2 linked regions of the Styela clava genome follow. The protein of the gene in region 1 purifies or fractionates together with the protein of each later gene. This does not show direct contact. Links are inferred from orthologs where the notes say so. Each region holds a gene or a part of one and is shown in the gene's direction. Other genes may lie near its edges. The genes, in order: ribosome biogenesis protein BMS1 homolog and RNA 3'-terminal phosphate cyclase-like protein.

What was found.
Region 2: the proteins of ribosome biogenesis protein BMS1 homolog (region 1) and RNA 3'-terminal phosphate cyclase-like protein purify together in Homo sapiens (co-immunoprecipitation; 4 studies listed by BioGRID and IntAct, with this or other methods). This does not show direct contact. The link is inferred for Styela clava from reciprocal best matches to the Homo sapiens genes BMS1 and RCL1.

The regions. Positions count from the first base shown.
Region 1 is NC_135264.1:2,033,571-2,050,856, forward strand, and holds ribosome biogenesis protein BMS1 homolog, read left to right. Parts: upstream 1-9,284; 5' UTR 9,285-9,575; coding exon 9,576-12,926; 3' UTR 12,927-13,494; downstream 13,495-17,286. Other genes in the region: uncharacterized protein LOC120334427, read left to right, coding at 70-215, 1,029-1,125, 2,657-2,777, 3,420-3,499; zinc finger matrin-type protein 5-like, read left to right, coding at 13,580-14,107; mitochondrial import inner membrane translocase subunit TIM44-like, read left to right, coding at 14,713-14,832, 15,449-15,595, 15,758-15,865, 16,532-16,709. UniProt on the Homo sapiens protein: GTPase required for the synthesis of 40S ribosomal subunits and for processing of pre-ribosomal RNA (pre-rRNA) at sites A0, A1, and A2.
Region 2 is NC_135262.1:5,502,134-5,517,328, reverse strand, and holds RNA 3'-terminal phosphate cyclase-like protein, read left to right. Parts: upstream 1-13,523; 5' UTR 13,524-13,582; coding exon 13,583-14,695; downstream 14,696-15,195. Other genes in the region: uncharacterized protein LOC120332662, read left to right, coding at 1-68, 345-416, 896-976, 1,493-1,555, 1,658-1,732, 2,201-2,269, 2,517-2,570, 2,948-2,989 and 2 more; uncharacterized protein LOC120332205, read left to right, coding at 3,534-3,720, 3,951-3,988. UniProt on the Homo sapiens protein: As part of the small subunit (SSU) processome, it plays a role in 40S-ribosomal-subunit biogenesis in the early pre-rRNA processing steps at sites A0, A1 and A2 that are required for proper maturation of the 18S RNA.

The DNA.
Region 1 (17,286 bases):
TCATCAAACAATCTGTGTATTAATTTGTTTACATCATAGGTTTCAGAATAAAGAAAATCTTCAAAGAAAATGCGTCTGAAAGTTGCAGCTATTCTTTTTGTCGCATTCTCTCTCCTACTGGTGGAGGAGTCTCGGGGCTGGAGGAGAATTTTTCGACGAGTAGGAAGGATAGTTAAGAGGGTTGTGAAGGCCTACAAACGTATTAGAGGAACTACGTAAGTTTCTTTACATTGATCCTATAAATATTTAATTTATTACACTGAACAGTTTATTGTCTTTGCGAGCGCTCCAGAAGTGTGTGTACCAATATGAAGGTAACTACTTTTGATCGCCTATTTTACATCAAGTTGCGTAATGGGACTAAAACCTATGGACTGGGGGATATTCACTTGGCTAATAAAGACAGTCCCCGAACTCGTAATAGAACTAAAATAAGTAAAAATTAGAATAAAACTATGGCCTAACTATTATAATCTGGTACACATACAGCGGGAGTACCCCATCGCGAATTCTTCGCATGTCACACACCTCAAATGTACTAGACTAATAGTGTTTTTTGTGTATTCTTAACATTAAAATAAAAATTTTAAGTTCATTGGCAAGAATTTACTTTTTTAAGTTGCAAGTGACGTCCAAGTTAAGTAGCAAGTGACGTTCAACTTATTTTCAAGCTCAATTTATTTTCATTGATATTTTTCACGGAAAATTATATGAATAAAACTATATTCTTAATGGGACGGATGAAACACTTCGACAGGCCGGATACGGCCCGATGCCACAATTTGCCCACCCGATTTAAACAATAAAAAGAACAAATTTATTTTGAGGTTAAGTTTTCGGTGTGTCCGTGGTAAAAATAAGAAACACTTTCTCCAGTGCGATATAAAATTCGAATATCAATTTTCTCTGATGCTTAGTTTTTGCGGTGCAGGGAGTCTAATTAAAAAAATTGAAACGACGATTATTATATTCTTCTATATATTATACTCTTCATTTATTTGAATACTTACGACACTTTACTTTTATAGCGGGGGCCACATTGCAATAGAAGCGGTCAAAAAATATCTTACAACTGTATGGAACAACAAAGAAGAAATCAATGAGCTGAGAGAGCTGAGAGAAAAGGTAATCCACTATAATCTGTTTGACATAAAGCTAGCGTTTATTAACCCTTTTCCAGCGGCTAAGCTCATATGAGAGAATATTTACGCTTAATTTTGTGCTCGGTAAACTACTGTTAATATCGCTCTTAGCTCTTTGTTGACTTTATCGCCTGATATGAGAGAAGCGATGGAACCTTCCAGCCGTGACGCATCGTGCGAATTCTATAAATAGCGTGGATTTCAAAATCGCCTGTCAGACGTCTGAAAATGTCGACTCAGCTCAGACAGGAAATACTCCTTTATAATGACTTATTGTTGGTTTAGCATGTATTTTCAGACATATATACTATCCCTGACCATCCCTGGCGCTGTGTTGTTTTGATAAATATGATTTTGACTGCTCCATAGTTGGCAGAAGTATGGAGATTTTTTGTAGTTAAAAAAAACGTAAAATTAATGGTAATTTTAACGCGTAAATGCGCGTATGGGATTGTTTACGCCGTTCTACGCGCATTTCCGTCGAAAAAATTTAATTTTTTTGCGTTGGGGGTGGTCTGTGCAGTAATAATAAGAGCTGTGACGTCATCAAAATCAGTAATTTTAGCCTTGAACTTGATACACCTGTAGATACAATTGTGAATTTCAGAGTAATAACCATTTATGCTATAATAGGCGTTTCGGTGATGTTGTGTTAGGAAAAACTTGACGAAAACGTTGAAAAAAAAATTAATTAATTAGGAATTAATTATTAACCCTCTACTGTACACAGAATTTCTAAAAGTCTAATTTATTTTTAGAAATTTTTGAGATATTTTTGCAAAAAAATTTTTTTTTCGGAGTGTAATTTAAAGATATATTGCTGAATAGAACTCTAGCACACGCCTTTAAAAATCCATAAGAGAAGCTTTAGGGCTTAGTGGTTGACAAAAAAAATAACTTTAAAAAGACCATGTCAAATAAATTGGGTCAACAGCTGTCAGAGAGTTAAAGTGTTAAGACTTGACCGTTTTAGCATCACAGGTTACAAATCTCGAGTTTAAATTCTAGAGATATAAGTGATACTTGTGCAGGGGCAAAAGTCGCGAATACGTGTCGTATGAAGATCAAATGTTTACGTTTTCCATTTACATTGCAAATGTCGTAAAAATTCTTCGCTTTGCCGCGAATGCCCGTGACGAAATATTATTGAAACAATCTTACCTGGCGTGAACTATTTGCTATTAACTGATAAAGCAGAGTATTGAATGGCAACTCTTGAGTATTGCCCATATTTACGAGTCAATGTTAATATGATTAACTGGGTATTCGTCTTAGAAACGTGTACTTGATAGTTAAGGAAGCCCCAACTGTTATGCAAAAAACCCACGACGCCAAGGAGTACAGCAATCCTGTCGCACATAATTATACCCGCTGAATTTCAACCTGCACTCTCGCATAGAGTAATCAAAAGATCAAATAGCAACGTGTTCCTAACGCCAAGCACAACGCCATAACCGTTGACATTGGTTACTTTTGTAGCTTCCAAATTTCAGCACAACTTTCTCTTTGTTTAGGACGAAGAAGCCTATATGAAAGCAATGTCCATGATCGCTGATGAAATTGCGGCAGAATCTGGAGATGGTGAAGCTCAGTTCATGGTGGAAATGTTGGACGAACTTGCCAGCATGCCTGACGGTAATTTGTTTAATTTGACGGTAGAGTGTTTGCACTGGATACGAAAGAACTGATATGTAGGGTGTTATAACGTTTGGAAATAGGCCAAAATTCTCCTATTCGATATTTAGTCAAGTCACAGTATTTCACACATTGTAAGTTCACGAGTCTGACCATACTTTTAGCTCTATCTGAACCCTTAACCTAGAATGTTGCGCATATCACTGGATTGCGCGAAGCAACTTTAAATTGAATAAATAGCAATTGCACGTCCCTTTTTCAGAATTTGTCAAGTCTCGCGCCCCACCTCCAAAAAAAAAAATAGCTAACAATAAGCAACAAATAACAGATAGTTAGGCGAAAGTATGTTTTATTTAAAAAACGCGTTAGAAATACGTGGATGGAACGTAAATAATGAAAAAATGAAAAGTTTTGAAATGTAAAGAAGGCCGGCAAGATGAAATCTGATGAATATTTTCATTTTCAGTTAGCTTCACGCCTTCAAAAAATTGTCTACGCGCGCCACCGTTTGAAAACCACTGGCCTGATTGATCTATTTTCTGATTTTACTGGACTTGACAAGATTTTGTTCAAAACAGCCGATTCAATTTGTGACTTTCTCCTATAACATACACTATTAACGTCCTTTCACTTCTATTTCAGAGGAATTCAAGCAATTCGTGGCTGAGCATGAACTTGAAGAAATTGCAGACTCCGGCGAGCTACGGTTATCAGATCATTAAAATGGAGTTTCTTGACGGACAGACCGAGAAACAGACAACTCGTTTTAATTTTATACTTTAGTTTTTTTATTGTTTTACAAAGATATTGCAGATTCAAAAAAAAAAAAATAATAATAAATGAATGGCGCCACCATAAATTGAAATTGTATTTTATTTTTTCCTGCTACAGTATTAGTCAAGACAGTGGTTCTTAAAGGTAATTTACCGGGGGCCAAAATTAGAAGCGGGACGATATTTGCGCGCCGGCAAGGGGCAGATGCTTCTGTCGGTACGTATTATCAAGATACCAATATAATTGAATTGTTACGATTATACACGTGCTTAAATTGTGGTAATGAGGTCAAAATTGGGGATATCTAAAGATAGAGAGAGTGTTGAATTATTTCACTTAAGTTCGGCGGGTCGTAATAAACCGTTACGCGAGCCGCTTAAAAACTGAATGAACTTTTCTGCGTTTTGTTGCCATTTGTCTAATTATGGTAGATAGAATTATAGGCTCATTAATAAACGAGTAATTGGGAATTTTATACTTGTTGCGTTATAATCTGTTCTACGTAAAGAATATAATCGTCAAAACAGCTGCTTTGTTACTATAATTCAGTGAAGCGTCGCGGGCCGGATTATATTGCTCCGCGGGCCGTGGTTTGCCGACCCCTGTTCTGGGGGCAAAATGGAAGCATACTTCATGGTTTTGGGTGAAAGTTCTCAAGTAACGAGTCAAATCTCGTGCCCCGATAAATTTAAAAAACTTTATATTACTAAGTCGAGTTACCATTGTTCCAAGTCAAACTGTTCCTAACTGTTTTGAGTTCTACGTCACCTATAAAGTGCGAGGGTGCTGCCCTTGAACAGGGATCGGCAACCTATTGTCGCTCGCGGGCCAAAACTAAAGGTTGCAAATCTTTGTGGTCGCACATATTTTTTTTAAGTGAGTTTAAAACCAAACGGGTGGTTGATGAACCACATTTTTTACACAGATCAGTAAGTTAAAATTTTAGACCTAAAATAGCAAGCGAACACTGCCACTCGTGGACTCAAGTCGTCTTACTTGGCAAAAAATTTTAAAAATGACATTTATTGTGATACTTGTTGTTGCATTACGCTTGATAGCTTTTCGACACCAGGTGACACTCTGGTCACCTGGCATTGTTTGCCAAATTTGAATACAAATTTCCTTCAAGTAGATACTTTTTTTAGAAATCAAGCAGACAACAACATTTTAAGAAAACGATTCATATGTCCACACCGTGTTCAATATAATCTGCTCCACGAGCGTTTTGTCGCTAAATTTCAGTAAAGCATCGCGTGCCGGATGATTTTACTCCGCGGGCCGTAGGTTGCCGACCCCTGCCCTAGAACTTCGGCGCGTGTTGAGACTGGGCCACCTTGGAAGTCCGCTATAAGGTCTTTGTTAACAACGCGTAAAATGTAGAAATTCGTAAAAGTAAAGTATTTTGAGCGCATCGTTCTAGTAATTAACATTTGATATTTGTGGTATTGGGCTTATTGCTATCTGCTTCGTCGAAAATATTAAAGTAACAATACTAAACAATTGTATAAATGCATCGTGGTAATTTGTATCTTAAAATCTAGCAATGCGTTATGCAGCCACATCATCTGGCCTTGCTGACGCATGCTATTCATCCCTTGAAACTGATCAGACCGCCGTCGAACGCTGACATGGTGTTAAACGGTGGAATACTGGAGTATATAAGTATAAGTAAGAAATTTTTGGACGAAAACTTGAAAAACCGGACTAACACAGATCCTCCTGAGAAGATAAATACAAACTTAAATCTAAACGATAGCCTACTGGTGAATTCTGTGCACGGGCACTCATAAAAACAATTATCAGGAAAAATAATAAATTACAATATGTTCTAGGAATCAAGTAGATTCAGATAATTTTTTTTTATCATGTAAGAATCAATGCAAACACAACATAAACTAGTCGGATACATTACCGATACGATATGGGTGAGTTTGCATCAGATCACGCTGACCTGCATGGAGTTTATCACGAAAAACTGGTCGAAGCGGAGGATAACATGAACTGCCAAACGTCAGATGTAACGGATATTTCACGATGAATTCCAAAAAAGACTGCTTACGCAATACACATGGATTTTGACTGAAACTGAAGTTGGAACGCCAGAGCGTGAAATTCTCTTGTCATATTTTGCTTCGTTTGTTGTTGTTTACTTTTACGCTGCTTTTATTATTATTGTTTATGTCCAGTAGACTATTAGTTGAGTGCATGTGCGTTTGTAATCACATAAATCATCACCAATCGCGCACCGCTTGTTTGTTGTATTTAACACTTCTCGTTACCTATACAGATATATATAGTAGAAACTGCCATATATATAGCGAAGTTTGATATGGATATCACAAAATAGGCCTTCAAAAGTATTAATATTGTGCGATTGTCTTTCTGCATTGGAAAGCATACAGAAAATTTGGAATGTTAAGCATTTTTTATCGACAAAAATACAACTACTTCATTCTATTATTTGTCACACGACTGATATCAAGTTTCTGTGGATACCAACCAGCACATATTGGTATTAGCGTAATGATGCAGTGGATCGACTGGCGAAAGACGTAGCAAATGGAATTGTCATCAATGCTGTTTTTCAACGGTCATTGAAAGAAGCTAAGACATTGTGCAAGCAAGCATGTCTTGCAAAATGAAATTTACCATACCAAGCTAACGATACTGCAAGCCATTATAAGAACTTTCGAACTCATATAGCCCAAAAGACTGTCTATTTCAATTTTTCCCGCCAAAAAGAAATAGTATTTTTTCGTCTTCAAACTGGACATATCAGACTCAACTATCATTTATTTGAAATAGGGCTACATTCCACAGGGCACTGTATTCGATGTGATACAAATGAACTGTTTCCCATTTTATATTGTCCCAGGTATAATAACTTACGATGCGAATTAAGACGTGAAGCAGCAAAAATGAATGTGCCCTGGGAAAGTATTCGTATTTTCAATGTTCCTGATTTGATTCAATTTATTATTAGTTTTGCTATATCCACCAAACGAGAGCTGTGTACCTATTTTATTGTACCATACTGACTACTCTCTTTGTTATTTGGCGCAAAAGATCCGGTTGTAAAAGACGCCAATAAACCTTTTACCTTACCTTAACTGCAGTCCATGTTCAAACTCCGCATCCACACCAAAGTATTTACGCCCGAATTATCTTTTGTGTATTTTTTTTTAAATTTATTCCAATTGTGTTGTTTGCTGTTTGGTGTCAAAGCCCGTATGTTTGGGGTAAGGGGGCACGTGCATCAGCACGTCTGAAATCCTTTTTAGATTTCGCCTACTTTCCTGATTTCTCGTTTATTTGTTTGTTTTGCCATGTATTGTTTTGTTGTAACGGAAAATCGAAAAAAACACATACATTTACTTATTTGCATTTGGCCAAACGCCAATATCACTAGAATTCGCCAAATCTGGCAATTACCTACCGGACCGGACCTTTCCAAGCGAAGAATTACGACAGCCGAAACAAAAAACCTGGCAACATTGGTTATACAGCATGTTGCAAGTTTTCTCGAAAGTGTTTAGGTTCTCTATCTGCAGATTTGCGCTACCGCCAGTATCGCATTGTTTGATCTTTCATTTAACAGATTCAACCTTCAGACGTTGGTAGCGGTAGTCTAGTACCGTAAGTAGTGAAGTGCGTAGGTCTGCCCATAAGTTGAAACAATAATAAAGCGTACTATGTCTGGATGTGGGACTAGTATATAAAATGGGTTACCGGTACTGGGTTACCGGTATCATATTTGTTCAAAATGTCTGAATGTAGAAAATCCGGGTCTCGGGTAGTTAAGTACGGTACCTAAACAAAAACTTCTAGTGGGCGTACCGGTAGCACAACAATTTTTCTACAGGACAATCCTAACCCCCACCTGACTACGCCATCCAAAAATCATGTCACAATCACGTCATAGAGCAGTAGAGCTTGCCAAAGTATATCTCCGATCGCCTGAAGTCTGAAAGTGGCATCTGCGTCGATGATAAAGAACTCACTAACGGCAGCGATCTCTTATATCGGGATCGCTGCTTGGAGAAAACGAGATAAATAGCTTGATCGAATCAACATTTAAGCACTAAAAATATCAAAAACGCATTTCTATATACCTAAAACACCGCCGTAGAAAATGTGAAAAGACGGACAACTCACCAGGCCTCTCTGTAGTCGAGTTGTCTCTGGTGAGTTGTCCGTGTAGTCGAGTTGTCCGCATCCCAACCGTAGTGCTGTAGTGACGTACCGTAATTTTTGGATGACGCAGTCAGGATTGACATAGATGCTAAAGTTGTTATGCTACCGGTACGCGTACGCCCACTAGAAGTACCTCGGGCAGTCAGGTACGAAACTAAATAGAACCCGAAAATCCGGGGGTCTCCTTAAGTACACGCCGCAAGTAGGGTGGTGGAGCCAGTCTGTGGACAATTAAATTCAAATCGTTATAAAACAAAAACCAATATTTCTAACCTGTTAATTTTTTCACAGTAGGTGCATTGGCATTTATTCTACACGCTAAACTTCGAAATAACTCCCTATGACGAGGGGTTCAAGCTATACAAACCACCAAAGTACGACACTCGGAAGACAAATTTGTGATCGAACGACCAGTGTGCGACCACGTATTTCAAGCCTTGAACATCGTTTCTGCTGTGTCAAGACTAGAGCATACGCAGCCATGCGGGAAAAAATTGGGCTTATAATTGCATTTCTGACTGTCATATTTTAAGAACACAGTTATTTCTGACAAAACTCGTCAAATTATAAACAAAGCAACGCATCACAGCAATCAAACAGACAAAAACACTGTCTGGCGGTGGTCGCAAATTGGTCGACAAAGATATTATCGGCGTATTGGACATGCGCACCCCCCTATTCCCCCCTCCTTTAAATGTAGAAACGCGAAACTTTAAAGATGGTTAAAAGAAACACAACTCTACCCACCTGCCAAGTTTCATCTGTTTATCTCTTAGATATGTATGGATTTTCATGGAGACAATGGGTAGTTGGAACATGATAAAATGGTCCGTTTTTTTTCCTCCGGTCGGGTTTTCGGTCGTAGCTTTTTTGTTTGTGCCCGTATTTTAGTGTAATTTTGCTGAGCTACTAGTGGACGATGACGCGTGAGAAATGTCGCGTGGTTCGTTAAATGGCTTAAGCAAAGTGGCTAAGCCACCCTACTTCTAGTTGGCCTGGCTCAGGAATGACCATTCATAACCCCCACCTGACTATGTCATCCGAAAATTACATCGCTGCGAAGTCGCAGTGACGTAATACGGCCTCCAAAGTATACGGATGGTCGCCAGACAATCATCCGAAATCGAGCAGTCTATTTCTTTCGTTTTCTTGTGAAACGATACCGATAAAAGAGAGATCACTGACGTTAGTGAGTCGTTACGTTATTACGTTACTGTGATGTCTCAGGGACATAAATTTTGAATGACGTTGTGTTAGGAATACCATAATATGCTATACCTAATGTTTGTGCCACGTCCTCTAGAAGTACTTGCAAACATGGCCCGATTGTTGCCATCAACTTATATTTTGGCCCAATAAAATACTGAGATGTTGACTACTAAACTAGGCATTTTGTAATTTTTCTTTTTAATGCTTCATTATGCACTTCAAATACTGAAATAAATTGAAATATGCTAGTCCAAGCTTCCAATGTTTAACATTCTGACATGATACCGAAACGCCTGCTTGAAATAAAGCCAGGGGACCAATATGTCTTATATATTTTATTTGGTATTGTCCCCAAACTACATTGTCTAACTGCAGGAAGCATGCTGGCATGCAAAAGAATTGGGCCAACACTGATGCGAATACTGATTCTACTATTTTCAGCTTTGTGCATGTACAAGACATACCGATAATCAATAAATTGTGTACTCAAATTATTGAAAATATTTTACAGTGGCCACAACCGTAATCGAATCCGTTTGAATTCAATTACTTTGCATCGTTCATCCCTTTGAAAGTATTGAGTTTAAACAATACATATATATTTTTAGAAAATAATACATTATGGATGTGGATGTAGATAATAAACCATCAAAACAACACAAAGTAAGAAAAGCTGGCAGGAAAGCAGAAAAAAGGAAACTGAAGGAAGACAACAGCAGAGAGGATGCAACTACTAAAAAGAAAAACCCAAAAGCGTATGCAATCCAAAGTGTTAACAAATTAGCCAAGTCGTTTCATCGGGCACAAGACATCAAAACGAAAAAACATCATATACCTGTCGTTGATAGAACCCCACAGGTGCCACCACCTGTCGTTGTTGCTATAGTTGGTCCACCAAAGGTTGGTAAAACGACTTTGTTACAATGTATTATAAAGAATTATACAAAGCAAAAACTGACTAATATTCAAGGACCAGTCACAGTCGTATCTGGTAAAAATCGTAGACTCACAATTATCGAATGTCCGAACGACATTAGTGCTATGATTGATATTGCAAAAATTGCGGACTTGGTACTTTTACTTGTTGATGCAGGATTTGGATTTGAAATGGAAACTTTTGAATTTTTGAACATCTGCCAAGTGCATGGTATGCCAAAAATAATGGGTGTTTTGACTCATTTGGATGCAATTGACAATGCGAAGAAAATAAAGAAAACAAAAAAATTATTAAAACATAGATTTTGGACTGAAATATACCAAGGTGCCAAGTTGTTTTATTTAAGCAGAATGGTCTATGGTGAATATCAAAAAATGGAAATTCATAATTTATGTCGATTTATCAGCGTAATGAAGTTCAGACCTTTGATATGGAGATCAACACATTCATATTTATTAACTGATAGAATGGAAGACCTAACCGATCCTGAAAAAATTCGACAAGATTCTATTTGTAATCGGAATATATCATTGTATGGTTACGTCCGTGGAATGCCACTAAAAAATCTTTCATCAATTCATATTCCTGGTGTCGGGGATCAAATTATTAAAAATATCTCATTTCTTCCGGACCCGTGCCCTTTGCCCGAAAAGGGAGAAAAAAGACAAAGGCGTACTCTGGATGTAAAAGAAAGACTTATTTATGCTCCTATGTCTGGAGTTGGTGGAATTATTTATGATAAGGATGCTGTTTATATTGATGTGCAAAGCTCGACACAAAGGAATAATGGACAAGTCGGTGAAATAGAAACTATTGATAACGAAATAGTAGATGATTCAATGATTGGAACAATGACATTATCAAAACAAACTATTGATCATAAAATGGAAAAGAGTCAATTTTCACTTCTGGAGGGAATGAAACCAATTACGAACAACGAAGCAGAAAGTATGATTGAAATGCCTATGGAAGAAAAAACATTTGATGTTGAAACAAATCGTGTTAGGAGAAGAGCAGTTTTTTCTATGAAAGATGGTGAACAGCAAGATTCTACATCAGACGATGATGAGGAAGGTTATCAAAGTGGAGATTCCGATGATGAAAGTTGTAACGAATCTGAAAATGGAATAGAAGAACCAAATGGCATTTCTGAAAGTAAACTGAAATGGAAAGAAAATTTGAAATTGAAAGCTCAAAATTTGTATATTCACAGGCAGAAAATGATGAAAAATCTTCCAAAGTTGGTTTATGGTAAAATTGAAATCAAATCAGACACTTCTGAGTCCGAGGAAGATGAAAAAGTCGCTGGTGATTTATTTGTCGTCAAACGGAATATGAAAGCAAAGAAAAATACGAAAGACAATAAAGACTGCAACATAACTTTGCGGCGACAACATGGGGATGAAAATAGTGAAGATATACGCCAAAGTATCAGTGATTGTTTTGTCACTGGTGATTGGAATCAAGATGAAGACGCCTCTCACTTATTACAAGAGGATGAAAATTTGTATGGTGATTTTGAAGATTTGGAAACAGGACAATCTTTCACATCTGGAGCTAAAGATAATGAAAGTGATTCTGATGATGTTGATACAGTTAGAATTAAGAAACCCGATGACCGTGAAGCTAGATTGAGAGAAAAACGTCTTGCCAGAAAACGAAAAATGAAAGAAATATTCGATCGGGAATATGACGTCAGCCAAGAAAATGGTGAAGTAACAACCGCAAGTGGAAGCCTTTTCGACTCTGTCAAAACTGAACTGGCTGAACAAGCGAAATTGAACCGTGCTGAATTTGAGGATATGGATGACGCAACTAGAGTACAATATGAAGGCTACAGACCCGGAATGTATGTTCGCATTGAACTGCACGATATTCCTTGTGAGTTTGTAAAATATTTCAATCCAACATACCCAGTTATAGCAGGTGGTTTGTTGGCAACTGAAATTCAAACAGGCTTTATCAGAGTTCGAGTTAAAAAACATCGCTGGTATCCGAAAATTTTGAAAACACGTAATCCAATGATATTTTCTATGGGTTGGAGAAGATTTCAATCTTTGCCGATGTATTATATGGAAGATCACAATTTGAGACAGAGATATCTTAAATATACACCACAAAATATGCATTGTTGGGCTGTAATGTGGGGTCCTCTTTGCCCACAAGGTACAGGATTCTTAGCAATCCAAGCTCTTGCAAATAGAGACGTTCCTAATTTTAGAATCACTGCCTCTGGGACTATTTTAGAATCTGATAAAAGTACAAAATTGGTTAAAAAATTGAAGCTTATTGGTTATCCATATAAGATATTTAAAAATACCTGTTTTGTGAAAGGAATGTTCAACTCATCTCTTGAAGTTGCTAAATTTGAGGGAGCAGCCATTCGAACTGTCAGCGGCATACGAGGACAGATAAAAAGAGCGGTTACTGATGGCCCGAACAATAGCGGAGGATCCGAAGCCGGATCTTTCCGAGCATCTTTCGAAGATCGTATATTGATGAGTGACATAGTGTTCTGTCGTACCTGGTGTCCAGTTGATGTTCCAAAATTTTTTTTGAATTGTGCAAATTTAATGTTGCCCGACAAAGATAGTTGGAGTGCAATGAAAACTGTCGGACAACTGCGTCATGAAAAAGATCAGAAATTACAACCGAACGAAGACTCCCTTTATAGACCAATCGAAAGAGAAACTAGGGTTTTCAATCCTGTTGTAATACCCAAAAAATTACAAAAAGAATTACCATATAAAGTAAGACCGAAGTTACGAAGAGAAAAAATAGAAAGCAGACAAGAAGGAATGATGAAAGTTGCGATTGTCAGAGAACCGAAAGATAGAAAAATAGTCGAACTTATGACAGCATTGCGTGCGCTTGATCATGACAAAAAGAAAAAGACCAAACAAGAGAAGAGGGTCAAATATCTCAAGCACAGAGAAATGTTAGAAAAAGAGGAAATCAAAAATAAATGGAAACATAAAGAAGCAAAAAGGAAAGCTTACGCAATGCTGAATCAAAAACAGAAGAAGAAAAGATAGGAAATTTAGTTACACTTGAAGAGCTTCTCATTGTATCTTATATGCTAAATTAAAGCATGAAAGCTATTCAGAATTTTCGACTTATAAGGGCATTAACTAAATAGATACCAAATAGAAACAATTTTCTTTTACATTTATTAATATCATCCAATTGTATTTTCCACTAAGGCAGCCAGTGTTATGTTGATTGATCCATAGTAATTTTTTGAAAAGAGAGATATTGCATGAAAGGCAGTGTTTCTATTCTTGCATATTCTTTGAAAATACTTTTAGGGGATTTATTTGTGTTTCTTAGCTAAATTTTTCGAATAATGTTAATTGAATAAACAAACAGTCTACTGTCAGGTAGCTTACATGTCATTTTTTTCTCGTACTGCATCTTGTTTAAAAGACATGTATTTGTGTCAAAACTAAGGTTATTTGCATACTACTGTATTTGAAATGGTATTGTAATTATTGATGCCATCATAGACTAATGCTAAATTGTGCTTTCATGTATGTCTTTCTCCCTCCTCTGGATAGGAACAGTCCTATTTCACTAAGTGTCTTATTATTTTCTTTGCCTAGATGATTACCTAATTTCAGGCACATTAAATTAACATTTGAGTACTGATTGGCATGAAGACTGAAGTTGTTTTGTGAATATTACAAACATGGGAAGACGTTATTACTGTGAATTCTGCGATCGGGCATTTTTAGACAATCTGAATGCGAGAAAGAAGCATGTTGTGAGCAGTACGCATCAACAGTTGCGGAAGGCCTATTATGACAAATTCAAAACTAAGCAACAAAAGCTGAATGACGAACTTGCAAAGCCACGAATATGCAAATATTACCAGAATTCAGGGAATTGCCAATTTGGGTCTAGTTGCCGATACCGTCATATTAGCGATGTCGAAATAGAGAGAATAAAGAAAGAAATTAATGAAGAATCAAAAAAAGATGAAATGAGCAATAGAACTGTCAAAAACTGGCTTTCTTTAAACAAACAAAAACAAATCAGCAAAGAAAAGCTTGAGAAAACTGGTGGTGCTGCGGTCTCTGAGCGGAAAATCCCTGACATCCCTCAAACATCAACTGTACTCCCAGATTCTTTGAAGCAGTTGCCCTTTCTTCCTTTGTCGATGCAACCACCTCCAGAAGATGGTTGGCCACGACTTAATGAGGTTGAATGGGGATGATATGATTGGGCCTTTTGACATGGATTTCATGTTGATCATTGGTCCTTTGTAAGGCTTGCATGAATTGTAAAACAGAGTAGACAAAAAGTGGTATCTGTGCTGGCGGTGAATTGATGCTCAATTAAGAATTATTATTAAGGCATTGGATTCTTTGCGATTTCAAGGCAATATAAATTACATTGGTGAGAAACTGTGAATCAGCGTTCTAACTTGAAAAAACTGGAATCATCTTAAATTTGGACATAAATTGGTGCTCCAGAAGTGTGTGTACCAATATGGAGGTAACTAATTTTGTTCGCCTACTTTACATCAGGTTGTGTGAAGGGACTGAAACCTATGGGCAGGGGTTATGGTATATTCACTTGGCTAACAGAGACAGTCCCTGAACTCGTAATAAACTTAAAATAAGGAAAATTCGGAATAAAATTCGGAAGGTTATGGCCTTACCCTAACCTGGTACACATACTACGGGAGCACCTATAAATTATTGTTTCGATCAATGGTATATATGAAATCAGGACAGAGAACTCATCTATGATTATATTTATTGCCCAGGTATTTGTCAAAGTTCATTTTGTAATATAAAATTAAAATAAAGCAGCACAATGTGGGGTGCCGCTAGAGGAACTTTTCAAAGATGTGCGATACCTGTTTTAACAGCATGTACGGTCGAAACAAAAATTAATTCAAGGAATGTTTTAAGACCAGTGTCAAGAACACTTGCTGTAAGTTCATTTCAGTATTGCTATTGTAAATTCAAGTTCATGGTGTTGAACTCTACTATGTTGGTGTGACCGATTAAAAATCTTTGATTCTAATACTGTGCCTAGCAGCCCACATCCATTGGGTAGTTTCATGTCAAACTTGAATAAACTGGCCTTTTCAAGATATATCAGCTCTTCAACGTTGATAAATTTTGATTTAGTGAATTATTTCGTGTAGAATTTGTCTAAAAACCAAATTTGTTTCATTCAAAATCACAACAACGCAACATCAGGGAAAATCTATGTTCCAATTGGCATCTAGTTTCAATCGACACGCATTTTCCTCTGATAGTAATAAAGGGTATTAAAAAACAGCAACACACAAAAACTCTGACTGCCGTCCAAGTACCCCTGGAAATCTTCTCGTGAACCCCTGGGGGTTCGCGAACCCCAGGTTGAGAACCCCTGATTTAGATACTTGTAAGTTTGTAACTAAATATTTTCCTCTTCATACGTGCATATAATATATTGGTCGATACTGAAATAATACATCTATTCTGAAATAAAAATAATAAAAAAAAATTAATACCTTCAGAAATACATTATAAAAGTTCAATGCTTCAAATTTCTTTTTCAGGTATCATCAGTGCAATTCAATTCACCGAAACGAGGTTTTCTTGAAAATTTTTTAGATAATCTTAAACAAGAATATAACAAAGACGCAGAATTAAAAGAGAGTATTAAAAAATTTCGAAAGGAAGCACAAGAACTTGAAGATTCAGAGGTAAAAGTTTCCTGTGTGCTATAATACCTAGTTCAGATTTTATTGCACCATATCTAATCCTAATTACCGGTTTTCCATCTCTTTGATATATATCTTCTGCGTAGAAGAATGTCTTCAATAATAATGTACCAATGACATCTATTTTTTAATGTAATTTTACAGGCACTTAAAAAAGCAAGACAAAAATATGAGGAGATCAGTCGAGAAACTGGACAAGGTACAGATGCCGTTCGTGAAACACTTGGAAAAATAAAAAGCAGAGTATCTGAGGTGCTTCTTATTTTAAAATAACAACAAAATATTCGAAATGTGTGAATAATATTAATTTTAAGTAATTGTTTTAAAGCATTTATAAAAAAGTCATCATAATTGTTATTTTTTTATGGATATGACAGCAAATATAAAAAGATTTCCCAACGTTATAGCTGACCACAGCCTTACGTCTTAGTCACAGCCTTAGGTGTTAAGTAAATAATATTTCAGCCAACTTATTGCATGCATAAATGAGAGGCGTGTTTTAATGTGTGTCCAGAAAAGTTGCGGCGAGAAATTTCGCAGCGGGAAATCTCGCCATAGGAAAATACGCGCATAAAAAATCATCTCAAGCTTTTTGCTGTAAAACAAGTATTTCTGATTAAAACAGTTAAGTTTATAGGGTTAGGGTATGCTCTTAAATAAGAATCTTTTTTTAATAAAAAGGTACTTCAAAAACCTAACTGCTTTTATCACAAATACTTGTTTTACAGCAAATGCTCATGCAACGATTTTTCTTATGTGGCGAAATTTTCTGCAGCAAGATTTCCTACGGCGAATTTTCCTAGAACCGTTTCTAATGCTGTTATATCAACCATAAACAGTACTTCAATCAAATTCAAAGACAATTGGACACTAACAGAGATCATTAGTTTTCATGTCATTTCTTAAATTTGTTGATAGGCCAGTGAAGAAATCAGTAAAACAGAATTTGTCAAACAAGCAAGTCGGGTGTCAGAAGGAATCAGTGAAGCTGCAAAATCTGCAACAGATAGTGAAGCTTTCAAAAAAGTAGCCTCAGGTTTCGATAACATCACAAAAGGAACTGGAATTCCACCTTCTTCACTGTATAGACCACCAGGTAAATAATGCTTTTCATTTCGTCGGAATTTAATACAATATAATGAATATTTGAATTCGGAAATAATTTAAAACCTTTTTATTTCAAAATTAGGAATTTCGACGCGCCAGACAAGTAGGGCTGTTCAAGCTAACCGAATATTCAAAATCGAATCACAAATTATTTGAATCGTTTTGCGGCTAGATTGGGAATTACTAAAATGAGGTACCTAAATCGAAAAAAGTCTATCCGGCACCTTTGCACGGCGTTTTTTAGCGGGCAAGCAGTGGCTTACCTGATACTAGGACGACTCTTGGTCGCAATGCCCGGTGTTATGTTATTGTTCAATTGAGACAGATATATAGGATTGCGCAATAATATTCGATACTAATCTAAAAAAAATATTCAATTTTGGACAGCCCTGCAGACAAACAGATCAAAACATATGATATCTCAATTAGTAACAAATCCAAATTTACGTCATTTTAGATATGATCAAAATGAAGATATAATGATTTATGTAATTTTCCACATGAGCTTGCCCCCAATTTGGAATGTATTGGATATTCCGTGTTGAGAATATTTTCACAGAATGTAT
Region 2 (15,195 bases), on another chromosome or scaffold:
CTAAAAGAAGAGCATACGATCCTTTTTACGATGAACCGATATGCAAAGTGCGCCCACAATACACAATGGTATTCAGTGTTTTGAATTTTCGTTTCTTGATTGACGGTCATGATAAGTAGACATTCGTACGAACGTTGCGTTAGGCGCAATTTTAACAGCATTTAACTCAATAGAAACAATATTGCGAATGGAAATTAGTAAGATCAGACGTTCATTGACTAAAAGTAAGGAATATTCATGATACGACAATTCCAAAATTAAACACAGGAGAATTATCTGGTTATTCTTCACTATAACTTAAGCATAGCTGAGTTTATAATTCTTGTGATTGTAATTTCACACAGGGAAAGAAAAATGAAGTCAACAAAGCAGAATTTTCTTCCAATGGCAACTCGCGTTCTTTACCCAACAACAAGGTATTAAATAACGATGAATCCTCTTCTATAGTCCGAGCCAAAATGCAAAACCTTTGAGACTTACCGCAACGTTTAAAATTCTTTTATTGCTGGTAAATGTAGACTGTATAGATAGATTATAGAAAGTTGGTATACCCCAGTATGTAACCTATGATGATATATTTATCCAAGGCGCTCCAGAAGTATGTGTACCAATATGAAACTAATTTTGTTCGCCTACTTCACATTAAGTTGTGTAGAAGAACTGAAACCTATTCGCAGGGGGTATACTCACTTGGCTAACACAGAAAGTCCCGAACTCGTAATAGAACTAAACTAAGGAGGATCGGAAAAAAAATATGGCTTAACCCTAACCTGGTACACATACTACACAAGTATCATTGTTATGAAACATTTACATTCTTGGTAACGTTCCAGTCATTTAATCGTGCAATCATCCGACAAAGTTTCTATCACTCATGATCGTATTTTACCTCTAGATAACTGACGACAAAGCTCCGATAGAAACTCCATTTCCAATTGAAGATTCTAACAATACTTTGCTGACTGGCAAAGCTAACGTAAAATTTGTTCTCGATATTTCAATTCATATTCATATAATGTAGAATAGGCTGAAGTCATTCACGATTTACCTTAGTGATTGAGTCGACTCGAGACGAAGATGACCTGACTCGGGGTTTAGGACCCATTACTGGTCCCGTAAGACGAAGACTGAAATATAGCTAACTACGGTTTTCCTACGGCAATTGGTCGTGGATGAGTATGGGATTAGGTGCAGTAGCGCTCCAGAAATGTGTGTATCAATATGGAGGTAACTAATTTTGTTCGCGTATTTTACATCAAGTTGTGTAAAGGGACTGATTACTATGGGCAGGGGTATAATCACTTGGCTAACAGATACAGCCCCCGAAATCGTAATAGAACTAAAATAAAGAAAATCGGAATAAAATTATGGCCTAACCTTAACCTGTTACACACACTACGGGAGTACTTGTACGGTAGTAAAATAAACTAGATCCAATGGTTATTGCATGGTATACATAAATCCTTATGCAAAACCATACTCGTATTTTTAGAACGTCGAAGACAACCTCAATGTGGAAATGTCTTCCAAGGAAATATCACAAATGGAAAAAGAGGTAAAATTGTACAAGTTTTCAATAATGAACCATTACCGTCCCAAAATCGCTTAATTTTTAATTTATTTAATCTCAATAATCTCGTTCATGAATTACTTTCAGGTAGAAGAGAACAAATCTCCATTGCCATCGGCATCTCCAATTGGCGATACTGATGAGCTTGCCAGTGCTACAAATGTGAGTTTTTCTCCGTATTCGAAATGCTGGACTTATTAAAAAGAGAGCGATTGAGTAATAACAATAGACAAAAGCCATAATTTAAATTTTATGCCTGTTTCAGATAGAGATGCATCTGCAACAATATGTGTAAACGTGCCGCCAATATCAATTGGTAAAATATTACGAAATTGCCTTTGCGTTCTTGGCATTTTGACTGAGCCCTGTTGGCAACTGTAGCACTTAAAACTAGTGCAGATTTGGGATTTTTTACAAAAAGCATAAGCGCGGCAGCTATAAACTCACTCACAAATTGTGTTTTGCCTGACTTTGCATTACTTAGTATTCAGTTTTTTGTGATGTTTATTTTCGTAATTCCGAACACTGTATAGCCTTGGTAGACATTTCAATTTTAAACCTAAATTGCACGCAACACATTTTGCCTGAGCAGGATTTCTTAGTACGAGTATTGCATTTTGATTATTCTAGGAATCTCACGATGAGAAAGTAGAAGAGAAAAAAATTAACGACACTCATCAAGATGATGAGAAATCAAAGGTAATATGTTTGTTAAGTTTTATAAACAAATTGACGAGAAAAGTGAGCAATTGACGAAAATTAACCCCTTACTTTTTGAAAACTCAGAATAGTTATCTTGATTCTTGCTACAGCATCCTGGCATTATATGCACACGGATCCACATGAGGGATAAATAGTTGGTCCCACAGAAACCCAACAGATAGCACAGGTAAAAATTTACAGTTTTTAAATGCTCACATAAACATATTTTTATTGTTGTTTTCAGTCCAATGAGGAAAGTCAAAAACTGGGCGATGAAGATTGCGAAGATGATTACGAAGTAAATATTGAATTAACACTTTCATAAAAATCAGGATATGATTCTATGTAACATATGGTAGGATGTGGGATACCCAGGCGAATCATTACGTTTGCTTTACCAACCTGTCGCAGTGTACAAAATTTGAAGTTACAAAAGTTATCGGAGTCTAAATAGCGCTGTTGGCATAATCAAATGAAATTGAAAACAAACGATTCCCCGACAAAGTTATTCTAACTCCAGATTTAAACGTTGCAACTACTGCGAAAAAAGTATATCTGCGCTTCGAAGTCACATAAACGGAAATACGTACTTGTCCAAAAACTTATAAAGCCATATATTATATTATATAAGCTGAATTTATGAAATCTTAATAACTATACTTTTTGTCAACCCAGGATGATTTTGACAGCGATACTGACGAATCAAGTAAATCATCTGTAAGTTTATATTTGTTTGTTTCATTCCAAATAAATTTCTAGCAATTCTCTGATATTGTCAGTGTAATGTAATTCAGTGAATGTAGAGTATTACTATTAATAATACTCGACAAAAACATTATTTTTGATTTCCAGAATGAATTGCCAAGCGATGATGAACTCTCACCAAGTGCAGAGGTATGTTTCAATTTATATTTGTTATTTGAAACTATTTGTATAGCACAATTGTGACTGCATATACTGCGGTCGTGAATTGCGACACATATGTTTATCATGTCAAGAATTATAAGGGAGGTGGATGGCTGAAATTTTTGGAAATAAAATATAATATCAGATATATATTGGAAGTTGAACCGGCGAATTAACTGATAGTTTAAAACTGCTTAGCGATGGTTTAATGCTATGTTTGGACGAGACACCAAAAAGCCCCTCAAACGCGGAATTCAATACTGTAAACTCTGTCGCGTCACGGCGATTTAACATCTTTAGATCTTTCGCAATAAATTAATAACGACAATTGTTAACGAATATATATTTTTTTAAGGATGTTGAAATCACAAAGATGGCGAAATATATCAAACCAAACAATGCTTTTCCTGGAAAGTCCTGTCTTGCTCTTGTACCTTCCAGTGGTCGAAACAACGAGATCAAAAAGGCAGTCAGTTTCAGGGAGGCTCTAGAAGACATTCGTTACTATAAAATAGACGATTGCCCTTCTAAAGCAGGGAAAGGTAATACATATTTCTTACGCGTATCCGCACCTATTATAAATTTTATTGACGTAAAACAATTAAACAATACTTTTACAATTTTTGTCTGCTCACTTTCCGGTTTAATACAGTCGTAATGTGCTTTTTGCGTCAGATTAAACAGCCGTTGTGATGTCATAGTAAAAATACAGTTATCAACGGTATTTTATAATAAATAATCCACTTTTACATCAAATTCTCTATTTATTTAGGTTATTTCATGAGTCCTTTCCGTTTGCAAGAACTGTAACAAAGAAAACATAGACGAGGATTTAAAATGCAATTTAAATTTTGCGGCAGATTTTTTAAATAAAGGAAGAATTACTGAAAATTATATTCTTAATTGTAATTTTTAGTGAAATTGTATTGAATTTATTGATATCAAATAAAATATCTATTTAGTAGAAAGATTTTCTCGTTTTTAAACAGGGCTGTAAAGCTCTGGCTATTTTTTATGGTGGAATAATGATCACTTTAAAAAGTTGTTTATTTAACTTTATTACTGTTATGCGCAACCACCTTTTCATATTGGTTGCATCAAATTGTGCTCTTTTAAGGTATTTGAAGTTACGGTGAAATGATATTCAAACATATAACGACTGACGATGTTTAACAGTATTACAGTTACGGTGAAATGCTATTTAAACATTTAATAATAAACGTTTTTAACAGTATCTTTGTTAAAAGCGTCGGTCGTTAAATGAATCAGGTACCATTTCAGCGTAACTTCAAAACTGTTAAAAACTGAAACGGTCGTCAGATCAATTCGAATTATTTCATTAAACACCGAGGCGCCAAAGTTCGACTATGGCAATTTCTTTGGTGTCCCCTTTCTCTTGATGCCATTAGGCTAAGCACATGCTTAATGGGTGATTCAGCCCATGATACAATTTCCTTCTCGTCATATTGGCGAAAATGAAGAAATTTTTTGTTGTGAAAAAGGAATGACATTCTGATGGCTTTTATTTACCTCAAATTAAACGGATCCGATTGAGTTCGATGGGTTCAACAAATCTGCAGTCAATTGTTTATTTTTTTGCCATACTGGAAATACAAAACAAAAACTAGAAACACACATAAAATGTCATTTCACGGTGAAGGGACCCGCTCAAAGTTCGCAGAAAATTTAGGTCTATAGTTTTGGGCAGATAGAGAGGCTGATAAAGAGTATTACCTATTCCCCATATTTGGAGTCGGGATCCCAAAAATTCACGATTCATAAATTTTGTCCCATTTTTCTAGTCCCGATCAGGGAATACCATTTATGAAAATCCTGGTATTTCAATAAGGTATTTTTGCGGTGGTTATGCTGATTTTGGAATATTTTTTATTTGGTTTATTTTTTGATATATGATTTAACTTTCCGTTTTACTACTGTTGTGTTCAACTTTTGCTGTGCATTTATCTCTGTACTTCCACTACGCTATCCCCAAGTAAATGATAACATTTTCCCGATTTAAAAGAAGGATGCCAAACAATACGACCTAATCCGACACCACCCAAATGTAACAATGCGCGGCAATTAAGCAAGCGAGATAACGATAAATAATGTAAAAGATAAAATAAATAAATAAAAAAAGATTGTAAAGATGATCTAAGACAAGTCATAGGTTCTCAAAGTGCTCCGTACGGAGCCCCGGGGCTCCGCGAGCTATTCGATTTCTTTTCAAAATACTGACTTGGCTAATTTTGTAACTGTTCAAAGAAGCAATAACAGCTTTGATAATATTCGACACAATATAGCCTCGAAATATGGCAAAGAGGCGGAATTAAAAAATGACATTATTTATGAGCTGGAGCGCAGCCAGGCTTCTTAAGAGACGATGGGGATGAAATCGGAAATTTTCGCGCAACATTCTTCACGATCAAAAAGAAAAACGGATTAAGTTGCGTAAAATATTCAATCCATGACCGATGCGAGCATTTAACGTGTCTCGTCGTTATAATGTAATTGTGCTCATCGTTACTCCCGTTTCATTCGAGATTACTATTAAGATTACTAAAATAAAAGGTTTTACTATTCTAAAATAACATAAAATACTTGATAACATGCCAACTATAAATAAATTGGGTCGTATTTTTGCGATCTTGGGATTTGTCAAACTTGATTTGTTCTTTCGCACTCGAGATTATTTTCAAGCAAGATATCGCCGTTTAAAAAATCACAAGGTGTCGGCAAAATACGAACGATTGAAATTAATTTATTGCATGCAGCTCCGTCGGTAGTTTCAGAATGAAAAAAAGGTGCATCGCACGCACAATTTAATGTGTTTCGATTTCACAGTTACTACGATGAATAACCAAAGAAAACCTAACATAACACTGAATTTTGTGATTTCCAATGCCTATAAAAGCGTTTTTAATCTGACGTGAGACTGCTGAAACCAAACTTATAGTGTGATCTTCCATTTTAAGTTTTAATATTTCAGAATGTCGTTTTTCAATCAAAAAATGAGTTGCGGTTTTTCTTTATTAATTATTATTTTTAGCATTTCGTCGCCGATGACTATAATATTTTTCACATTGAACTCATAATTCCCCACGAGAAAAAAAAAGCAATTATCGTCGTCATTGGGGAACAATACAAGTAGGCTATGTGCCGACAGAAATTTTTGATTTAGGGAGAATAAACACCGCCGCAAAGATGTTTAAAAACATGCCATGTTGACGAAAACAATCAGCGATTGTAACAAAATACATTCGCGCACATTATCAGCGTCATTTTGAGTCTTCCGAAAATGTCAAAAGGGAAAAGATTCGATCCTCAATTTATTAATATGTTTGTCAAGTGTCAAATTTACAGCTTTAGTATACATAATTTATCTTCGAAATTTAGATTTATTTATCACTTGTATTAACTCTATGGACCTTTCCCCGAGCATTTACTTCCTTGTTTATTTCGTGACATTGGCTAATCAGCAAGATACAAAAAGTGACGTAACAATGCTCCCTTTTCGCATCCGCTCAGACACTATTCTCACTCAGACAGATTTTCAAGCGCGGTTGTAAACATTACCTCGTTTTCGCGTTTTTGAACTCTATTCGTTAGTTTTCTGTTGTGTTTCGGAAACTTAAATATGAATCAGATATTGCAATGATCAATCTGTCTTCCTCGGAGTTTTAATTTAATTGCAGTAATAAAAAATTAATGTAGAAATAGCTGTGATAGACTAGGCTAAAATTCTTTACCGGTACTTTTAAAAAACAGATTGTTGTATGCGATGAATCATATTGATGGTTTGTAACATATACCTCATTTTACAGGCGTCAACTCGCAAAAGCACTCTTAAAATAACCCCGAAAATTTTGCAATGGTAAAGTATGGGAGAAATTTTTCAGGGGTCAAAGGTCGGGGAAAGGTCCATTGAGAAAGGTTATTGAGTACTTTCACCTTTACTCAGGAATATTAATGGGAAAGTAACAATTTCAACATTTCTTTTGGGGCTCCGTAAATAATAGTTAACCTTTCCAAGGGCTCCGCAACACTAAAAGTTTGAGAACCCCTGATCTAAGTGACTCTAGATCAGGGGTTCTCAAACTTTTGGTGTTACGGAGCCCCTGAACAGGATGACTATTATTCACGGATCCCCATAATAAATTTTAAAATTGTTACTTACCAATTAATATTCCTTAGTTAGTTAAAATTACTTTACTCAATTTCAATGCTAAACTTTTTTAATAGGGTTAATACAAGCCATGAATAAATCTAAATTTCACAGATAAATTATATATCATGGCTGTAAATTTGACACTTGACAAACATATTAATAAATTCGAGGTCGAACCTCCCTTCTGATATTTTTGAAAACTGAAAAATCGATAATAACGTTCGCGATCACATCTTGATAAAACCACCGATTATTTTCGTCAGTTTGATATGTTTTTTAGTAAACATTTGCACGTCGGTGTTTATTCTCCTTTAATCACAAAATTTTTTTCGGCATATGCATAAATTGTTCCACGAAGAAGACGATAATTTCTTTTTGTTTTGTGTGGAATTATAAGTTCAGTGTGAAAAACAAGTTAGTATATTATATGTCATCGGCGACGATATGCCAAGAATATTTAATAGAGGGGTGTATTCGCAACCCAAATTTCTCGAATGAAAAGCGGCATTATATAATAATAAAACTGAAACTTAAAACAGCTAACACCATAAGTTTTGTTTTAGCAGACTCGTGACAGATTGAAAAAGCTTTTTAAGACAATGTTAATAACAAAATTTGGTGTTATTTTAGGTTTTCTTTGGGAACTATACGGTAGTAACAGAAATCGAAACATAGTCAATTGTGCGCGCGATATAGGTTACTTTTATCCATTCTGAAACTACCGACTGAGCCGCATGCGACTTTTTCTCGATATGTGACGATATATAAGATAATTATTGTGAAGTATATCAATCAATTTTTTTTATTGCACTAAAATAAATTTTAATCGTCCGTATTTTGTCCAGATCTTGTGATTTTCCAAAAGGGTGATATATATCTTTGAAAGAATCTGAGTGGCAGACATGCGATAGGGCGGAGTCAGCGTTATAGGAACGGCTCACATTTGTCGAAATCTCTGAATTGCTGAAATCTGTTATTTTAGAATAATATTCTTTAATTTTAGTAATCGTAATAGTAATATAGACGCAAAGACGAGTAGCGATGAACACAATCAAATTATCGTGCTCGCGTCGGCCATAGATTGATATTTTACGCGACAGAAAACTCGTTATCTGCTGGAAAGGTATTTTTTTAACGAGTGGCCTAATCGCGAAGAATGTTGCGCAAGAATTTCCGATTCCAATTTTGAACACCCACCTCCCTCTCTTTAAAATCCTGGCTTGCTCCTGCTTGTGGATAATGTAATATTTGAATTACGGCCTTGCGATATTTCGACGCCAATGTTGTCACATTTTATTAATGCCGTTATTGCGTCTTTGGACAGTTACAAAAGTAGCCAGGTAATCGAATAGCCCGCGGAGCCCTTAGGTTTTTCTCACGGAGCCCTGGGGCTCCGTACGGAGCACTTTGAGAACCTATGCTCTAGATCATAGGTTCTCAAAGTGCTCCGTACGGAGCCCCAGGGCTCCGCGAGAGGAACCCGGGGGCTCCGCGAGCTATTCGATTACTTTTCAAAATACTGACTAATTTTGTAACTGTTTAAAGAAGCAATAACAGCTTTGATAAAATCTGACAACAATATGGCCTCGAAATATGGCAAAGAGGCTGAATTAAAAAATGACATTATTTATAAGCAGGAGCGCAGCCAGGATTCTTAAGAGGGAGGTGGTTCAAAATTGGAATCGGAAATTACCGCGCAACATTCTTCGCGATTAAAAAAAACGTATAACGAGATTTCTGTTGTGTGAAATATTCAATCCATGACCAATGCGAGCATTTAACGTGTCTCGTCGTTATAATGTAATTGTGCTCATCGTTACTCACGTTTGATTCGAGATTACTATTAGGATTACTAAAATGGAAGAATATTATTCTGAAATAACATAAAATATGTGATAAACTGCCAACTATCAATAAATTGGAGTCGTATTTTTGCGATATTGGGATTTGTCAAACTTGATTTGTTCTTTCGCACTTGAGATTATTTTTAAGCAAGATATCGCCCTTTAAAAAAACACAATGTCTGGGCAAAATACGAACAATTGAAATTTATTTTATTGCATTCGGCTCCGTCGGTAGTTTCAGAATGAAAAAAGGTACATCGCGGATTGCGCGCACAATTGATTGCGTGCGGCTCCGTCGGTAGTTTCAAAAAGGGAAAAAAAGGTAGGCCTACATCGCGCGCACAATTGACTTGTGTTTCGATTTCGCAGTTACTACAATGAAAACCTAACATAACACCAAATTCTGTGATTTGCAATGTCTATAAAAGCGTTTTCAATCCTAGGTGAGTCTGCTGAAACCAAACGTGTGATCTTCCATTTTAAGTTTTAGTTTTAATATTTCAGAATGCCGCTTTTTAATCAAGAAATTTGAGTTGCAGATTTATCTCTTTATTAATTATTATTTTTAGCATTTCGTCGCCGATGACTATAATATGGTAACATGTTTTTCACATTGAACTCATAATTCCCCACGAGAACACAAAAGCCATTAACGTCGTCATTGTGTAACAATACATGTATATGCAGAAAGAAATTTGAATCAGGGAGAATAAACACCGGCGTGAAGATGTTTAAAGGTTCAAAAACACGCCATGCTGAGGAAAAATCGGCGATTGTAACAAAATGCAATCGCGCACATTATTAGCGGCCTTTTAAGTCTTCCAAACATGTCAAAAGGGAAAAGATTCGACCATGTTTGTCAAGTGTCAAATTTACAGCTTTAGTATATATAATTTATGTTTGAAATTTAGATTTTTTTATGACTTGTATTAACCGTTTCAAAAAAGGTTCAGCATTTAAATTGAGTAAAGTACTTTTAACTTGCTCAGGAATATTAATCCGAAAGAAACAATTTTAACATTTATTTCGGGGCTCCGTGAATAATAGTTAACCTTTTCAAGGGCTCCGCAACACCAAAAGTTTGAGAACCCCTGCTCTAGATAAGTGTATTTCCGGTTCGCTCACATTTGAACCCACGTACATTTGAACCCGTAATTTGAACCCACGACAATTGCACCTGCATACTATTGCACCTATGGAAATGTTTTTTTTGCGGATATTTGAACCCATACTAACCCTAACCTATGGATTTTATAACCCTCATATAGATTGATCCCGCGGATATACGGGCGCAAATGTATGGGTTCAAATGTACGGTCACCGTATTTCCCAATGACGATGCCAACAGTGAGACGTGAAGTTAAAACCATGGTTTATGAATGCACGTGTCTTGATCAACGCAGCCTGTTAATTGTCGAAGTAAATAGCAGAGGGTTGCCAAGCGTGACGTTGCTAATTAATTAAGGTTTTGATCCCTCACATCTTCGTCAGAAGCTGTGGCGCAAAGGAAGCGTGTAGGTACGGTAAAGCACCAAGGCTGGGTTCGAACCCTGCAGGAGGTACAAGTCCCCAAGCCAGAATGAATAAAAATAGATGAGGTAGATCAAAACAAAATAGAGAAAGTGAACAGGGCCCTACGACAAAATAGAAAATAAAAACAGAAACAGAAGGAAAAATACGGATGGCAGTAAGAGAGGTATAGAAATAAAGGAGGGCAGGCAGGGAGCAACGAAGGGCCGCGGACAAAAAGACGAGACGAACAGGCGAAGAAGGTGAGCAAGACCAAGAAGGCCGGGCGCAGGAGAGGGTGAAAAGAAAGGATCAGAAAGGGATCGAAGAAAAAGCCCAATGAGCAGCAGCAGAGAAACTGTAGGGAAAACGGTGGGCAGCATGATGGTGAAAAGAAAGGGAAACGGAAAGAAGAGAAACTGTAGGGAAAAACGGTGGGCAGCATGAGGGTGAAAAGAAAATGAACAAACAGGGATCGAAGAAAGGGGAAAGAAAGCAACGATGGGGCAGGAAGGAGGGTGAAAAGAAAAAGACTGATAAGAATAAGGATCCCAAAGAAAGGGAAAAAAGCCCCGATGAGCAGCCGCAGGGATACTTAGAGAAACTGTAGGGGAAAACGGTGGGCAACATGAGGATGAGAAGAAAACCGAATGGGCAGCAGAAACGGCGAAGGGGCTGTGAGAGAAGAACCCAAGAGGGAAAAAGCAAATTCAGCAAGGAAAAAAGGTGTACTGTGATGAGGGTGAAAAGAAAGACTGTGATGGCAGCAGCAGAGAAAAAAACTGTAGGGAAAAACGGTTGGCAGCATGTGAGGGTGTAAAAAAAAAAAAAGAAAGAGTGAGGGATTAGAAGAAAACCTAGAGGCTGAAAAATATGAAGAATTGGAAAGTGCGGACAAGAAGGCGGAACTCCTTCAGTAACCCCCAAAGAGGGATAGAAGAAAGAAAAAGCAGGATGCGATGCAGCAGGAAAAGGAAAAAAAGAAGGTAACAAATTAATAAATAAAATAAAATTCAGAGGTAAGATAGGATTAAGACAAAATAAGAAGGAAGGAATTAAAACAAGATAGCGCACCAAGAGTCGCGCATATCCTGAACTCCCTTACCTGGTACACAACCTGGTCCTCAAGAACAAATCAAATCCATCGAAGGATGGGATGGAAAGACCGATCGATGCTGCGGTCCAGAAGGCATTGCGATCGACAGGCGAAGAAGGTGAGTAAAAAATGGAACCAAGACGGGCCAGAGCGCAGACACGCAGTACACGTAAGTAGATAGAAAATACACGCAGTACACGTAAGTAGATAGAAAATACGAAATAAAGAAGAAAAATAGGGCAAAAAAAATAAATCCAGAGAAAACAGAAGTAAAAATAAAAAGACGTAGTCGGATCATAAAACGAACGAAGTTCGGTCACTTTTTTCCGTATTTATCCACCGAATTGTTGAATATAATCCCCGATTTCAAAATTCCTAATCTACTCCCGAAATCATTCCCATCATGGGGAGTTTCCAGCCATTTTTTTGGAATGCCAGCGCAACTCTTCGCGCACGGTCTAGACCCAGAGGTCCTTATTTTAATCCTAAACTATTATAAAATACAATTTCAACTTAGAACCTTCGACCACAGTGCCAGATACTCCCAAGAATAACGATTTGGATGGCAGTAGCTTTGCTTTCTCACACATGCCTGGCTAAAATTCCCACGCTGGTGGCGGTAGTGGACAGCGTCTTTCAAGGGCTTTCATATTATGTTCCTCTTTGTCAGTGTGTCGGGTCTCGTATGCTACAACATTTTAGTTCGTGGGGAATGTGATTATGATTATGAAGAAACCGAAATGGTTATTTTAGCTGTTTACATCGTTTGAAAGATGGTGTGTGTGTATATGACTAGTCTGAGTGTTGGAATGGGTAGAATATTGGTTTTGTTCTGCCAGTTTGCACTGTTTCTGTTTCAAGCTCTTTTTACGCATGAATCAGTTGCTCGCTATGCAGCTATACCGTACCTAGTCAATTTTGACCTTGAGAGCAAGCCTCTGTTATATATATCATACTGTACAACATATCGCCGGATGAGAACAGAAGGGGCCTCCTAAGTCACATTTTTGCAAAATTCACTTTTTTCAATATTTTGGGGTTTTGAGCCATGCTCTACAAGGTGGTGGTCTTGAAATCCTGAATTTCTCAATAATAAAAGTTTTAGCTGGACTTAGGACTGTAGAAGTTAAGAACAGAATGGACCTAAGTCCAGCTAAAATTTTTAATATTATGAAAATTGAGAATTTCAAGACCACCACCTTGTAGAGCATGGCTCAAAACCCCAAAATACTGAAAAAAGATAGTCCCAAGTTCCAATATGATGGGCATGAACATCAGAAATGAAATGTCCGAAACTTGCATCCCTAAAAATTTCTTCAGTGCAACGTAGGCCTAAGTCACCTTGTTTTACCTTGCATCCCATACAAAAAAATTCAGAAGTTGTTGAGAACAGAATGGGCCAAAGTCCATTATGGGGTTAAAAAAGCAGGAAGGAATTAAAGCTGAAGTGCCAAAAAATATTGATTACAAAGATATTGACATCTACATCAAAATACTCAGAGCTCAGGTTTTTACTAAGTGTGAATATCTAGAAAGTCGAAAATAAAAAAATTCCAAATTGTTTTTTGCGTTTTTCTCAAAACTCAAAATTGTGACTTAGGCCTGTTCTGTTCTCATCCGGCGATATATTGCTTTGATAGACAAGAATATTTTTAACTAGTAATATAATATGACAACTCCTGTATGGCAGTGTCAGTTCTGCATTGTATTCTTGGTTAATAGGGTACCTTTCTCTTTTTTTATTCTCAGAATTTACATTTCTAATCTGTTCACTAAACTGGTTTAAAATGTTAGAATATGTCGGAGCAAATTACTTGCGACAACGATTGGTTCTGTCAATTCTTAGTGGAAAACCTGTTCGTATTTCCTCGATCAGAGACAACAGCGAGAGTCCTGGTTTGAATGAATACGAAGCTAATCTTCTTAGATTTCTGGAAAAAATTACAAATGGAACCACAACGAAAATCAATGTCACTGGAACTACTTTAATCTTTAGGCCTGGATTGTTAATAGGTGGGGTGATAGATCATGATTGTAACCCTCAGCGTTCCATCAGTTACTTATTAGAGGTTATATTCTTCCTTGCACCATTTTGTAAAGAAAGGGTTAAAGCGACGCTTCGTGGAGTAACCAATGATTCATCTGATCCGACAGTTGATTTTTATAGATTGACAAGCTTACCAGTCATGCGAATGTTCGGAGTGCTTGATGACCTGGAACTCAAAGTTATTAAGCGAGGATTTGCCCCTGAAGGGGGAGGTGAGGTGTTTTTTCAATGTCCAAATCCAAGAAAATTAAGACCCCTTCAGTTTTTCGACCAAGGAAAAATAAAACGGATACGTGGTACTGCTTTTGCATCAAATGTTTCTCCACAAATTCCAAATCGTGTTATAGAATCATCAAGGTCTGTGTTAAATACTTATTTGCCTGATATTTATATTTATGCTGATCATTTGAAAGGAAATGCTGCTGGGAAATCTCCTGGATTTGGAATCGTACTAACCGCGGAAACCACAACAGGTGTTGTTTTAGCCGTGGAAAATTCATCAAATCCCAAAGGGCAGGGTGAACCTGTTATTCCTGAAGAATTAGGCACAAAAACTGCAAACGATTTGCTCGAAGAAATATTCAACGGAGGATGTGTGGACTCTGTAAATCAAGGACTAGCAGCTTTATTCATGGTTCTTTGCGAGCAAGATGTTTCTAAATTGATGGTTGGTTCTTTAACGGACTACACAATAGAATTGCTAAGACACATAAGAGATTTTTTCCAAGTAATGTTTAAACTTGAAACAAAAACGTTTGATCATGATGAAAAAGGGGGGAGGATGGGCGGTGATAAAGTTATAATGACTTGTGTTGGGATTGGATACTCTAATATCAGCAAAACTATGAGATAAACGAAATAAAATAATGAATGAATGATTTGGTGGTTGTAAGTAATGATACAAGTTATGGAGACTATATGTTATGAAGTTAATTATGGATATAAGCTATGGGGACCAAATAAATTAAAGATTCAATATTGTTTTTAGTGAATAATAATCATAATTTTTGACGTAGTTGTGTATTTGAGTCAATGAATTTCAAAATTTAAGATCGGGAGTCATGGAACTGATAAGTCAATTCAACCACTGCACAGTCAAATCGGTTTCTATAACTGAGTCAAGTTGAGTCCTTTCAATGGATAGACTCAAGTCATTATGAATATTGACTCACGTCTTACTAGTTGATTGTAATAAAATCTGATTGATCATTACGGAAGTTTTATTAAGAGCTACACAGTATCTTTTTTCAGCAGGCTTATTTAGTAATGCTTCAACTTTTGATTCTTTTTGGAACATTATAATTATAACTCAATAGAACCTTTTTTGTAATGATTTATTGCATACTGAATTAC